3 linked regions of the Sus scrofa genome follow. The main gene of each other region encodes a partner of the protein of the gene in region 2 in a complex. Links are inferred from orthologs where the notes say so. Each region holds a gene or a part of one and is shown on either strand. Other genes may lie near its edges.

The links.
Region 1: AKAP17A (region 2) and C1H9orf78 share a complex: the UniProt entries of both Homo sapiens proteins name them as parts of the spliceosome. The link is inferred for Sus scrofa from reciprocal best matches to the Homo sapiens genes AKAP17A and C9orf78.
Region 3: AKAP17A (region 2) and PPP1R8 share a complex: the UniProt entries of both Homo sapiens proteins name them as parts of the spliceosome. The link is inferred for Sus scrofa from reciprocal best matches to the Homo sapiens genes AKAP17A and PPP1R8.

Annotation. Positions count from the first base shown.
Region 1 is NC_010443.5:269,989,133-269,992,533, forward strand, and holds part of C1H9orf78 (uncharacterized protein C9orf78 homolog), read right to left. Parts: intron 3,110-3,401; coding exon 3,039-3,109; intron 2,370-3,038; coding exon 2,292-2,369; intron 1,476-2,291; coding exon 1,278-1,475; intron 559-1,277; coding exon 422-558; intron 321-421; coding exon 222-320; intron 1-221. UniProt on the Homo sapiens protein: Plays a role in pre-mRNA splicing by promoting usage of the upstream 3'-splice site at alternative NAGNAG splice sites; these are sites featuring alternative acceptor motifs separated by only a few nucleotides. May also modulate exon inclusion events.
Region 2 is NW_018084901.1:899,150-902,434, forward strand, and holds part of AKAP17A (A-kinase anchor protein 17A), read left to right. Parts: intron 1-248; coding exon 249-397; intron 398-2,790; coding exon 2,791-3,031; intron 3,032-3,285. UniProt on the Homo sapiens protein: Splice factor regulating alternative splice site selection for certain mRNA precursors. Mediates regulation of pre-mRNA splicing in a PKA-dependent manner.
Region 3 is NC_010448.4:84,976,607-84,980,253, reverse strand, and holds part of PPP1R8 (nuclear inhibitor of protein phosphatase 1), read right to left. Parts: intron 2,438-3,647; coding exon 2,217-2,437; intron 667-2,216; coding exon 522-666; intron 1-521. UniProt on the Homo sapiens protein: Inhibitor subunit of the major nuclear protein phosphatase-1 (PP-1). It has RNA-binding activity but does not cleave RNA and may target PP-1 to RNA-associated substrates. May also be involved in pre-mRNA splicing.

The DNA of each region.
Region 1 (3,401 bases), on a different chromosome or scaffold from region 2:
GTTATCGCTGAGCCACAATGGCAACTCCACCATCCCCATGGAGAGGTGAGGAAACTGAGCCTTGGGAAAGGGAAGGCACAAGGCCATGGTCCAGAGCACAGACCAGAACCCAGAGGCCCTGGCTCCGAAGCCCTTGCGCTGCCCCTTCAGAGTCCGCCCCCGACCCTGCCGGCCTGGGGCAAGGGTTGCTCCAGGCACCTGGAGGCCTCTGCTGTACTTACGCTCGGGCTCTGGCTTCTCTGTGTCGCCCACTCTCAAGGGTCGGGCTTTGGGCTCTTCTTTGTTTCTCCGTATGGGAGCATTGAGCTCCTCGTGGTAAACTGGAGCGAAAGAGACCAGAGGATGTGTCAGGCAGACTCTGGGAACCCAGGGACCCCACGGCGCTGGCAGGGCTGCCTCCCCAGGGACGAAAGACGCTTACATCGGTTGTGCTGCACGTAATTCACTGCCATGTTGGTGGGCACGAAGGATGTCTCGCTGTCCTTCTTCTTGTTCTGCTGCTCTGCCAGCAGGCGGGCCTTGGCATCCTCCGTGGAAATGATATTTTTGATTTTAGCGCTATGGGGAGAAAGGAGCCACACCCCATTAGATGGTCCCAACCTTTGGGCCTCAGATGGAACTCTCTGGAGGGGCTGGCAGCCCTCCACTGCCTGAGGATGTCACCTGCCTTGGGGCACAGCACTCTACAGTTTACCAACTCCCCCTGCAGTCACATTCTCATGGAGCTCTCGCGGCATCGGAGATGCAGTTCCTCTCTGCTGATAGAGAGAAAGCTGGGCCAGAGAGGTCACGTGATCTGCCTAAGGCTCAACACTGGTAAGGCCACAAGGGAGGCAAGAAGCCAGAAGTTCCCAACTTTCTACCACCCCCGAAGATGGTTCTGACCACTGCATTTCCTCCACGAAACCCCCTTTTAGAGCAGATGTTCTACACTAAAAATGAAAGGGGGATCACCGGTGGGTGAGCCTTTGTCGTGGCTCCTGCTAGGATGAAACAGAATACGAGGACCCGATCAGAGGCGCTGAAGAGCGGTGAACAAAGGCTAAATGAAAACAAACACTTTTGCTTCCGGCAGTCGGGGTCCCCTGTCTCTTTAACTACCCTGACCGACCCTTCAGAGAAACGCCTGGCAACAGCCAGCTCGGGCTGCCAGAGAGAAGGCGGTTTATATCTGCGGGTTTCCAAGGGGACAGGTGAAGAGACAGTCCCCCGAGCTTTCAACGGGAGCCCTTCTGCCTGGGAGGGGAGAGAGGCCGGAGCCGGGCTCGGGAACGCACTCGATGCCGAGGTCCACCTCGGGGATGCCGCTCAGCATCTGGTTGGACAGCATCTCCTCCGTCCTCTTCGCTGAGGAGACCCGGATGTTCTCCGGCAGCTCGTAAAGGCAGTCCTCCGCGTTCTTCGGCTTGACTTTCTGTTCCTCGTGTTCCACGATCCCTTTCCTCTTCTTTAGCTCTGTCTCGATGTACTTCATCCTGAAAGGAGAAACCCACAGGCCTCAGGGAGGGGTGGAAAAGCTCACGACTGGTGTCTTTTTTTTTTTTTTTTTTTGTCTTTTTAGGGCTGCGCCCGCGGCATATGGAGGTTTCCAGGCTAGGGGCCCAATCATAGCTACAGCTGCCAGCCTACACCACAACTACAGCAACGCCAGATCCAAGCCGTGTCTGTGACCTACACCACAGCTCAAGCAGCGCCGGATCCTTCACCCACTGAGCGAGGCCAGGGATCGAACCCCCAACCTCGTGGTTCCTAGTCAGATTCATTTCTCTTGCGCCACGACGGGAACTCCACATCTTTTAAATTAGTGTCCCTGACACCGGCCCACCGAGCAGGGATGGTTAATGATGAAGTTTCATCGTTCCATGGAGAAGCAAGAAAAATCCAAATAACTTGAGTTTTTCAATCAAGCTAAAAATTTCCAACTTAAAGCACCAATTTACATCACGAGATTCTGTCCCACCACATACGTAAGGTTCTTTGAAGAGGAAAAGATACACGGCAGACGGTAGGTAGTTATTTAACATCCTTGATGGCAAAATAAAGAAATGGGCAAGTCCAAAGTTTGTCCCTGCACTTTGATGGGGGGGTGAGGGGTTATTACTACTCAGGGAATCTAAAATTCCAAGAACCACACTTTTAAAGAATTTTTCGGAGTTCTTCAAAGTTCTCAAGCCTGGGGTGGGGGCAACGCTGCTGTCTCTGGATAATTCTAGAAGTGTCCCCAGTGACTAAACATCTTGGACGGTATCTGGCTGGAGCCCACCCCCCATTCCCTCCCTGCTGGCACCTACATGTCGGCGTCCTCATCCCTTCGGTTGGTTTCAGCGGAAAACGACGTCCCCAGATGGAGATCCTCCTCTTCGCTGATCCTACAAAAAGTGAGGCCGAGCCTTAGAGTCGCAGCTAAATGAGGCTGAGCTGGACGGGAATGAACGGTACGCGTAAAACAGGCACGCGACAAAAAGCACAACGTCCTGCTTAAGGTTAGAAAACACATACACATACATAGCACATAATACAGAAACAGGAGGAACTCCAGAAATGCACGCAAGCAAACGCTGGGCCTCTGGAGATGCCTCAGCGGAATGGGTAGATATGTTTATTTTTCACTTTCGTATTGCTTGTATTATTTTTGTACTTGTGTTTCTATGTTTTTTTCTTTCTTTCTTTTTTTGACTGCACCTGTGGCATGCAGAATTTCCCAGGCCAGGGATCAAACCCAAGCCACAGCAGTGACAACACCAGATCCTTAACCTGCTGAGCCACTAGGGAACCCAAATGTTTTTCTTTAAAAGAAAAACAACTTCCATATGAGTTGGAGAGACCATAAACAATGCACCTTTACAAAAGGTGTCTAGCCATGTTACTCTAAGTGAACCTTTGGAGCTTTTGTTTTCTTTTGTTTTTAAACAACAGAGCGTTTACAAAGCACAACGGTACTTCAAGATGTCCCATTAAAGATGCTGCAGGCCCTAGAATAACACAGACCCAGGCAGAGGCTACAGGTGAAATTGCATCTCAGCCTGCCTTGCACTTACTTATCTTTGCCTCTTTCTTTTAGTTTCTTCATGTCCACCATCCCACCTGTCTTCATCTGAAAGGGATCATCCTGCAGAAAGCAAACAGAGCAGGAAGCATCTATGTAACTGGCAGGGCAATTTTTTTTCACTTTTGTCTTTTCAGGGCTGCACCCATGGCACATGGAGGTTCCCAAGCTAGGGGTCCAATCGGAGCTGTAGCTGCCGGCCTACACCACAGCCACAGCAATGGGGGATCTAAGCCACATCTTCGACCTACACTACAGCTCATGCAACGCCAGATCCTTAACCCACTGAGCAAGGCCAGGGATCGAACCTGCAACCTCATGGTTCCTAGTAGGATTCATTTCCACTGCGCCACAA
Region 2 (3,285 bases):
CGGCAGGTGGCCGGGGGGCTGGTGGGCCCCCTCGCTTAGCTCTTTTCTCCTGCTGAAGGCCCTTGGCGTCCGAGTTCCCAGCCTGAGTCTGGGAGGAGCTCAGCTTGGGGCGTCAGGCCCACGCGCACCTTCACTCAGGTGTGTGCGGGGGGGCCCGGGAGCCCCCTCTCCGAAATGAGTCAGGGGGCATCCACCTCGTGTGCGGAAGGAGCCCTCCAGGTCATTCCACCCTGCGCCCTTCCCTACAGGTTTCTTTCGATTCCACCAAACACCTGAGCGATGCCTCCATCAAGAAGCGGCAGCTGGAGCGGCAGAAACTTCAGGAGCTGGAGCAGCAGCGGGAGGAGCAGAAGCGCCGGGAGAAGGAGGCGGAGGAGAGGCAGAGGGCCGAGGAGAGGTAGGCGCTGGCCGGGTGAGCCGGACCCCTCTGCGTGGGCGGCGGCCTCCGCCCGGTTGCCTGGCCCCGGCCTCCCTCCGAGCCGCCCAGGGCTGAGCAGGGCTCCTGCAGAGACTGGCAGAGCCTTGGCTGCTTTGCAGGGGTTGTGTTTGGGCCGAAGCTGCCGTCCCAAAGAGCAGTAGAGGCCCTGCGGCACGGGCGGGCTCGAAGCAAGTGTCTTTCAGGGCCTTCGGGGGGACTGCGGTTCACAGGCAGCGTCAGGTCCCGTGTCTCCCTGGCCGGGCGGTGTATCTGGGTTGTAAACACGTCTGCCCAGCGAGACTCCCTGGGCTCCAGGAGATAAGGAACAGTCGTCCTTGTCCCGTCACGGCTGCTGTGCCCTGGGTGCTTCTTGGCGTGGGGGTGGGGGTGGGTGGGTGTCAAGGTGTCACGGGCAGGGCTTCTGTCTGGCCGATTTAGGACTTTTGTGGCCGATTCCTTCCCTATCAGCCTCTCCACTTACCTCTTGGCTGAGCCGACTTCACTCGCGGGGCTGTCAGCTTCCTGTTTGTTTTCCCTTCTCCCCGCCGGCAGGAACAGGTGCCGAGGTGTCCTTGCAGTTGGTGGGGAAACCAGGGTCAGGGTCCAGCCCGTGCTGCTGCTCCTGACGCAGCCGGTGGACGTCCCCAGGGGGTCGGCCTGCTGGCCGGGGAGGCTCCGGCCGGGGATCGGGAGCCCGCAGGGAGGCTGGCGTGGGGCCAGCCGAGGGTGTGCGTGCCGCGTGGCTGTCCTCCGGCGGTGGCGGCGGCGCTCACAGGGCTGTTTGCATCTCGACCTGGGCGAGGCTCAGGGACGTCCAGGCCCCCCAGCTCGGGTCCCCAACGGGCCTTGTCCTCGCGTCCCCAAGATGGCCCTTGATCGCAGGCCAGGAATCGCAGACGTTACCCCTCGGCGTTTCCGTCTCCTTCATCAGGGCGTCGTCGAGGTTCGGGTTGTGGCAGTTTGTGCTGTCGGCGTCGTGAGCCCGCCACACGCCCCACGGCGTTTCCAGAAGCAGCTCTGAGGTCCCGTTAAAGACACTTCCCTCGAGCTTGGTGGAGAAACGAGGGCAGGGAATTGGGCCGAGAGTGGTCTTTGAGGACAGAGGGTCAGATGGGTCCCCGAGGTGTGCTGAGGACACGGATTCACAGCTGGTGGCGTGGCCTCTGCTGCCGCCTGGGATGACACTGGCCGAGAGGTGGCAGGGCCGCGAGGCGGAGCCGGGCAGGCCTGGGGAGCCTCCGGGTCTGTCCTCTGTCACGGGTGAGGTGCTGGGTGTTCGGGCTCAGTCTGGATCCGCAGTCAGGCTCCTGGACTTGGCCTTTAGCCACAGTTTAGAGCCGTGGGCGCTCTGGGGCTCTTAGGGGACCCCTGGTGCCAGGGACCATCAGAGATGTGGCCTTCTGGCTGCTGTCACCCTCATTGCTTCCCACGTGAGCCTGGGCCGGCCTTTCCCTCTGTGTGGGGGCTTGGCTGGTTCCGGGGCTCCAGCACCCCTGGCAGCCGTGTGCCCCCATGGCCTCAGAGGGCTCCCCCAGGTGGCATCCTGCCCTGAGCAGCCGGGGGCTCTGCCCCTCCGCCCCCACCCCGCCCTGCAGGTTCCTGGAGAAGTCAAAAGCCCCAGCACTCGGGAGGCAGGCGTACAGTGTGACGCCCCTTGGTCTTCCACACCTTCCCTGGGGTCTCCAGCCATCCTGATGGCCTTCGATCCTCATCTGGGGGACCCCCCCCCAGAAAGGATGGTAGGGTCCAAGCCGGTGTGTGTGGTGTGTAAGCGTGTGGCACAGTCATTGCCTGCAGGTAGTGCCCGTGGTGACCTCGCAGGGTGTCCCCAGGTGGTGTGAGCTGTCCTGCTGTCAGGACCGCTCCCCCTTCTTTAGGGACGGGCCCCAGCAAAGCGGGTCGGGTGTCTGTTACCGTGGTCTGCCTGTTCTACAGCATCCCGCGGCAGGGTCGTGCCATTGGCTCCGTGCTGGCAGAGCCTTCCTGTGGGCACGGTCCCCGGTGGGAACATCTGGGGCAGGGGCGCCCCCGCCCCTGAAACTCGTTTGTGTCCTCTGCAGCCACTCCACTGGGCGGCTGGGCTGTGTGGGGCAGGCAGCGTGTCCTGTGCAGGTGCGGCCCACCAGCGGGGGTGGGCCTTGTTCCAAGCTGCATTTTCCAATGTCTTGTACCCCCTCCCCATGGAGTCCGGGCTGGGCTCGCACTTAGCCAGACTCTGCCCCGCAAGGCGATGGCCCCCGCCCCGCCCCCATGCGCCTCTGCGCTCCTTAACGTCCTTGGACTTGGACGTGGGGGTGAGACGCTGCGACGTCGTCTTTCCCGCGGCGTCCCCGCCGGCTCCGCTGAGGCCCTGGTGCCTGCGTCCCGCACAGGAAGCAGAAGGAGCTGGAGGAGCAGGAGCGGGAGCGGAAGCGGGAGGAGAAGCTGCGCCGGCGTGAGCAGAAGCAGAGAGACCGCGAGCTGCGGCGCAGCCAGAAGAAGCTGGAGAAGCTGCAGGCCGAGGAGCAGCGGAAGCTGCAGGAGAAGATCCGGCTGGAGGAGCGCAAGCTGCTGCTGGCCCAGCGCAACCTGCAGTCCATCCGGCTCATCGCGGAGCTGCTGAGCCGCGCCAAGGTACCTCCTCGGCGCTCCTGCGGGGCTCCCACCCCCGCTGGCTGCTGCAGCACAGCCTGGAGGCGGGAGGGAGCGGCGCCGCGTCCGCGGACCTGAGACCCATGCAGCCTCCGCCCTCTCTTCCTGCATCTGCTGCGTCCTGCATGCTCTCAGTCTCTGCGAGCGGAAGGTCTCCTCCAGTCTCCGCTAGGAGGCTGGGAGGGGCGGGGCCCGCAGAGCGACGCCCTCCCCGGGGCTCCTCCCACTCCGGCTTC
Region 3 (3,647 bases), on a different chromosome or scaffold from region 2:
CTGAAGGCGCAAATGATGGCTAGCATTTTTTTAGCAATAAAGCATTTTTTAATGAAGACATATACATTGTCTTTTTAGATAGAATGATATTTTACACTTTGCAATACTCACTTTACTGTGGTGGTCTTAAACCAAACTCATATCTCCAAGGTATGTTTACACTGTACAAAAATATCTCCCCTCAACATAGCACCTGCAATCCTAAACCTTGTTGTGAAACATTACAACTGACCTACAAGTTATGTGCACTGCTGAGATCATAGCTTTCTTTCTTCCTCTTTTTTTGGACATCCCGTGGCATATGGAGTTCCTGGGCCAGGGAGCAGATCTGAGCCACAGCTGTGGTGATGCTGGATCCTTTAACCCACTGTGCTGGGCCAGGGATCAAACATGTGTCCTGGTGCTGCAGAGATACAGCCAATCCCGCTGTGCCATGCGGCAACTCCAAGATCACAGCATTTTTTTTTTTTTTTTTTTAGATCACAGCTTTTGCATCAGAAAAAACTATGAAGATTCCTCACCTGGGTTGATGATCTCATCATCCTCACTGAAGGTCACCCGTGAGTTCTTCCTTTTCCTCTTTGGTCTCTGAATGTCCAGATTCCCCTCCTCAATGGTGAGAGTGGAAATACGCTTGTTGTGGGCAGTATTGAACTCTGTCAGGTTCTGGGCCAGGGTTCACAGGGGAAAAACAGGAATAAGTACAAGGGAATCTGAAGGAGACTGTTACCAAACAAAGAGCGGGAAGGTCTCAGGAGCTAACCTGGACCTTTCCATGCAGTTGAAATTCTCTTCAGCACTCAGAAAAGACTCATCCCTGTCCCTAGACTCTGATACCAACAAGCCTCACTTGACAGAATGTGGAACATCTGCAATGACTAGTGGGATAGTGATATTCAAAAGGAGGTGAAGGGCCTTGAGCTAAAAATAGGACATCTGTGCAAAAACCCTGGAACTGAAGTTTTGGGTTTTTTTGAAGAAAGGTTATCATATCTTCATGCTGAGAATTAAAGGAATGCAACTGAGAAGAAATCCCTGAATTGTTTTTAAGTGAAAAAACAGAGATGAGAAGGGACAACTGATAGCTTCTTTCCCAGTAGTTCTCTCCTTTAAAACTTGTAAGGACATTGCCAGGGCACTGAATATTTGGCATTAATATCTTGTCACTTCCCATCACTGCATCTGGCCCCATTTCTATTCATAACTATCCATCCATCTCAATGATTAACTTGGCCTCAGCACTGCTGCCTGCCTCTTCCCAATCCCCTGGACTTAATCCAATCTGCACTGCAGTTTGAGATTTTCCAAATGTCTTGAGAACAAGGACCCAGAGATGACCTAATATACTGAACTAAAAGAGGAGAAAGAACAAGAGTGATTGCTAACAAGGTCCCTGGCTATGAGGCAACTCCCTTAGAACAAAATAACTTTTAAGTTGTAAGATTTCTATTGTGCTTTTCTCCCAAAGGGCTGTGAAACTGCCTCGGTGTACAAGGATAGTAAATGCATATGGGCAGTTAAAGAAAGGCTGACATTTGATCTACCTGGATACAACCAGTCACATCAATACAGTGACAGATATGTGAAGACAACAGCTACATCACCAACTCCTAGGATCTGCCCTAGAAGAGGAAAACCTTAGCACATTAAATTTAAATCTTGTAAAATTCATGGCCTTCATGGCAGCCAGGCCCAGAGCAAAAGTAGTCTAGTTTTATTCAGGAGATTCTTGGGCTGACAATTTAAAAAAGAGCTACATAAATGAATGAAAGTTTCAATCTCTGTAAGCGAGTGCTGTCCAATCAAATTTTCTGGATGATGGAAAGGTTTTACTGTTAGTGCTATTCAATATGGTTAGTCACTAGCTACAAGTGACTACTGAGTACTTAAAATGTGGTTAATGGCTACTGCACTGGCCAGTGCAATTCTGTAAAGACGTAACTCCCAGCCTTGGCTTCTAACATCCGATAGACAACCATGAGGGTCTACTGGCAGGAAATCCAGTCTCCTAGTTAGCCCTGGTAATGCACAGCCAAACCCACACAATGCAGCTCTCCAAGAGCCACACCACACTGCCAAAGTGGCAAAGGCCTGTTACTGGGCTCAAGAAAATCTCCAGCTGCTAACTCACTGGCATTTCAAGCTACACACCACAGCTAAAAACTGCAAAAATCAGAGTCCCAAAAGACATGACAATGACATAGAAAGAGAATTACATCAAGCTCTGTTTCCTCCTCTGGAAGCCCCAGTAAGCCCTTGAGTTCATCATCCTCTCCACCCATCTTCTCATCTCCTTTCACAGCCGATGGCAATGTCTGAGGCTTCTCTCGTAGAGTGTATGCCCTTGTGGATGCACCAAATGAGACCGTGGAATCGATGGGAATTTGCTGAGGCTTGTGAGGTTCCAACCGAATGTGACCCAAGAAAGTGCCGTGTGCTGGGAATAACCAAATCAGAAATGTAAGAGAGGGAAAAAATAAAAAACTAACCTGAGTTGTAGAAGAGAGAGCAGCTCCTCCCAGCACATCAGTTTTGCTTTTTAAAATGGAAATGGCACTGGGTCCACTTTGCATCCCTTGTCATGGGTCACAATGAAAAGGAAACTCCTTCACTGAATCTTGAATCTCTTCAGCAGATTTCTTACACATCTTCACACCTGCTGTTACCCCACATAACAAATACCACTGCTTGCGCTCTGCTGCCAGACAGGCTTGGATCCATTCTGGGTCCAGAAGGAATGGCTCCAACCCAGCAAGAGCCATGCCCCCAAGGCAGGAGAGAGGAATTGCTATGGTCTGACCTCTCTAGCCCAAAGTCTAAGGAACATAGGAACTGCTGGCCTGGCGGCCATTATGTTTGGGTTTTCCCCAGGATAAGAAAGCAAGCTGGCAGAAACAGGTGCAATGTCAATGGCAAGGGAAGCCAAAATCCCACCGGAGAGTCTGAATATTTGTCCATGTCTGCATTCTGCATATTATGAAATGGAGAGAAAAGATGAGATAAATTTGCAAGTAAGTACTTCTGAGACAAGGCTCTCGAAAACCATTATTATAAGCAGACTGGGGTGATGTGTAATGTGTGTATGTGTGTGTGTTGGAGATGGGAGGAAGAAGTAAAATATGATCAACCCAGGAAGCAGATCCTTTATATTTTATGCTATAATTATATGCAGGCAAAATGAACACACTTCAAGGCCCCATGCAGTAAGTCTCAGTTGCATTTTTGGGACTACCTTTGACAAACCTGAAAATCTTATTAGTTGGTGTTCACAGAAAAATTTTTTTAAATATATTTATTTATTTATTTGTCTTTTTAGGGCCACACCCGCAGCATATGGAGGTTCCCAGGCTAGGGGTCCAACTGGAGCTACAGCTGCCAGCCTACACTACAGCCATAGCAACACAGGATCTGAGCCGCACCTGCGACCTACACCTCAGCTCATGGCAACGCCGGGTCCTTAACCCACTGAACGAGGCCAGGGATAGAACCCGCAACCTCAGGGTTCCTAGTCGGGTTCGTTAACCACTGAGCCACGACGGGAACTCCAGAAAATTTATGTTATTAGTAGTCAAAGCAAAATGTAGCTGGGGTAAAGAACCCATTATAAAAAATTAACCTTTGCTCAAAACAAGCATTTTTTTTTTTTT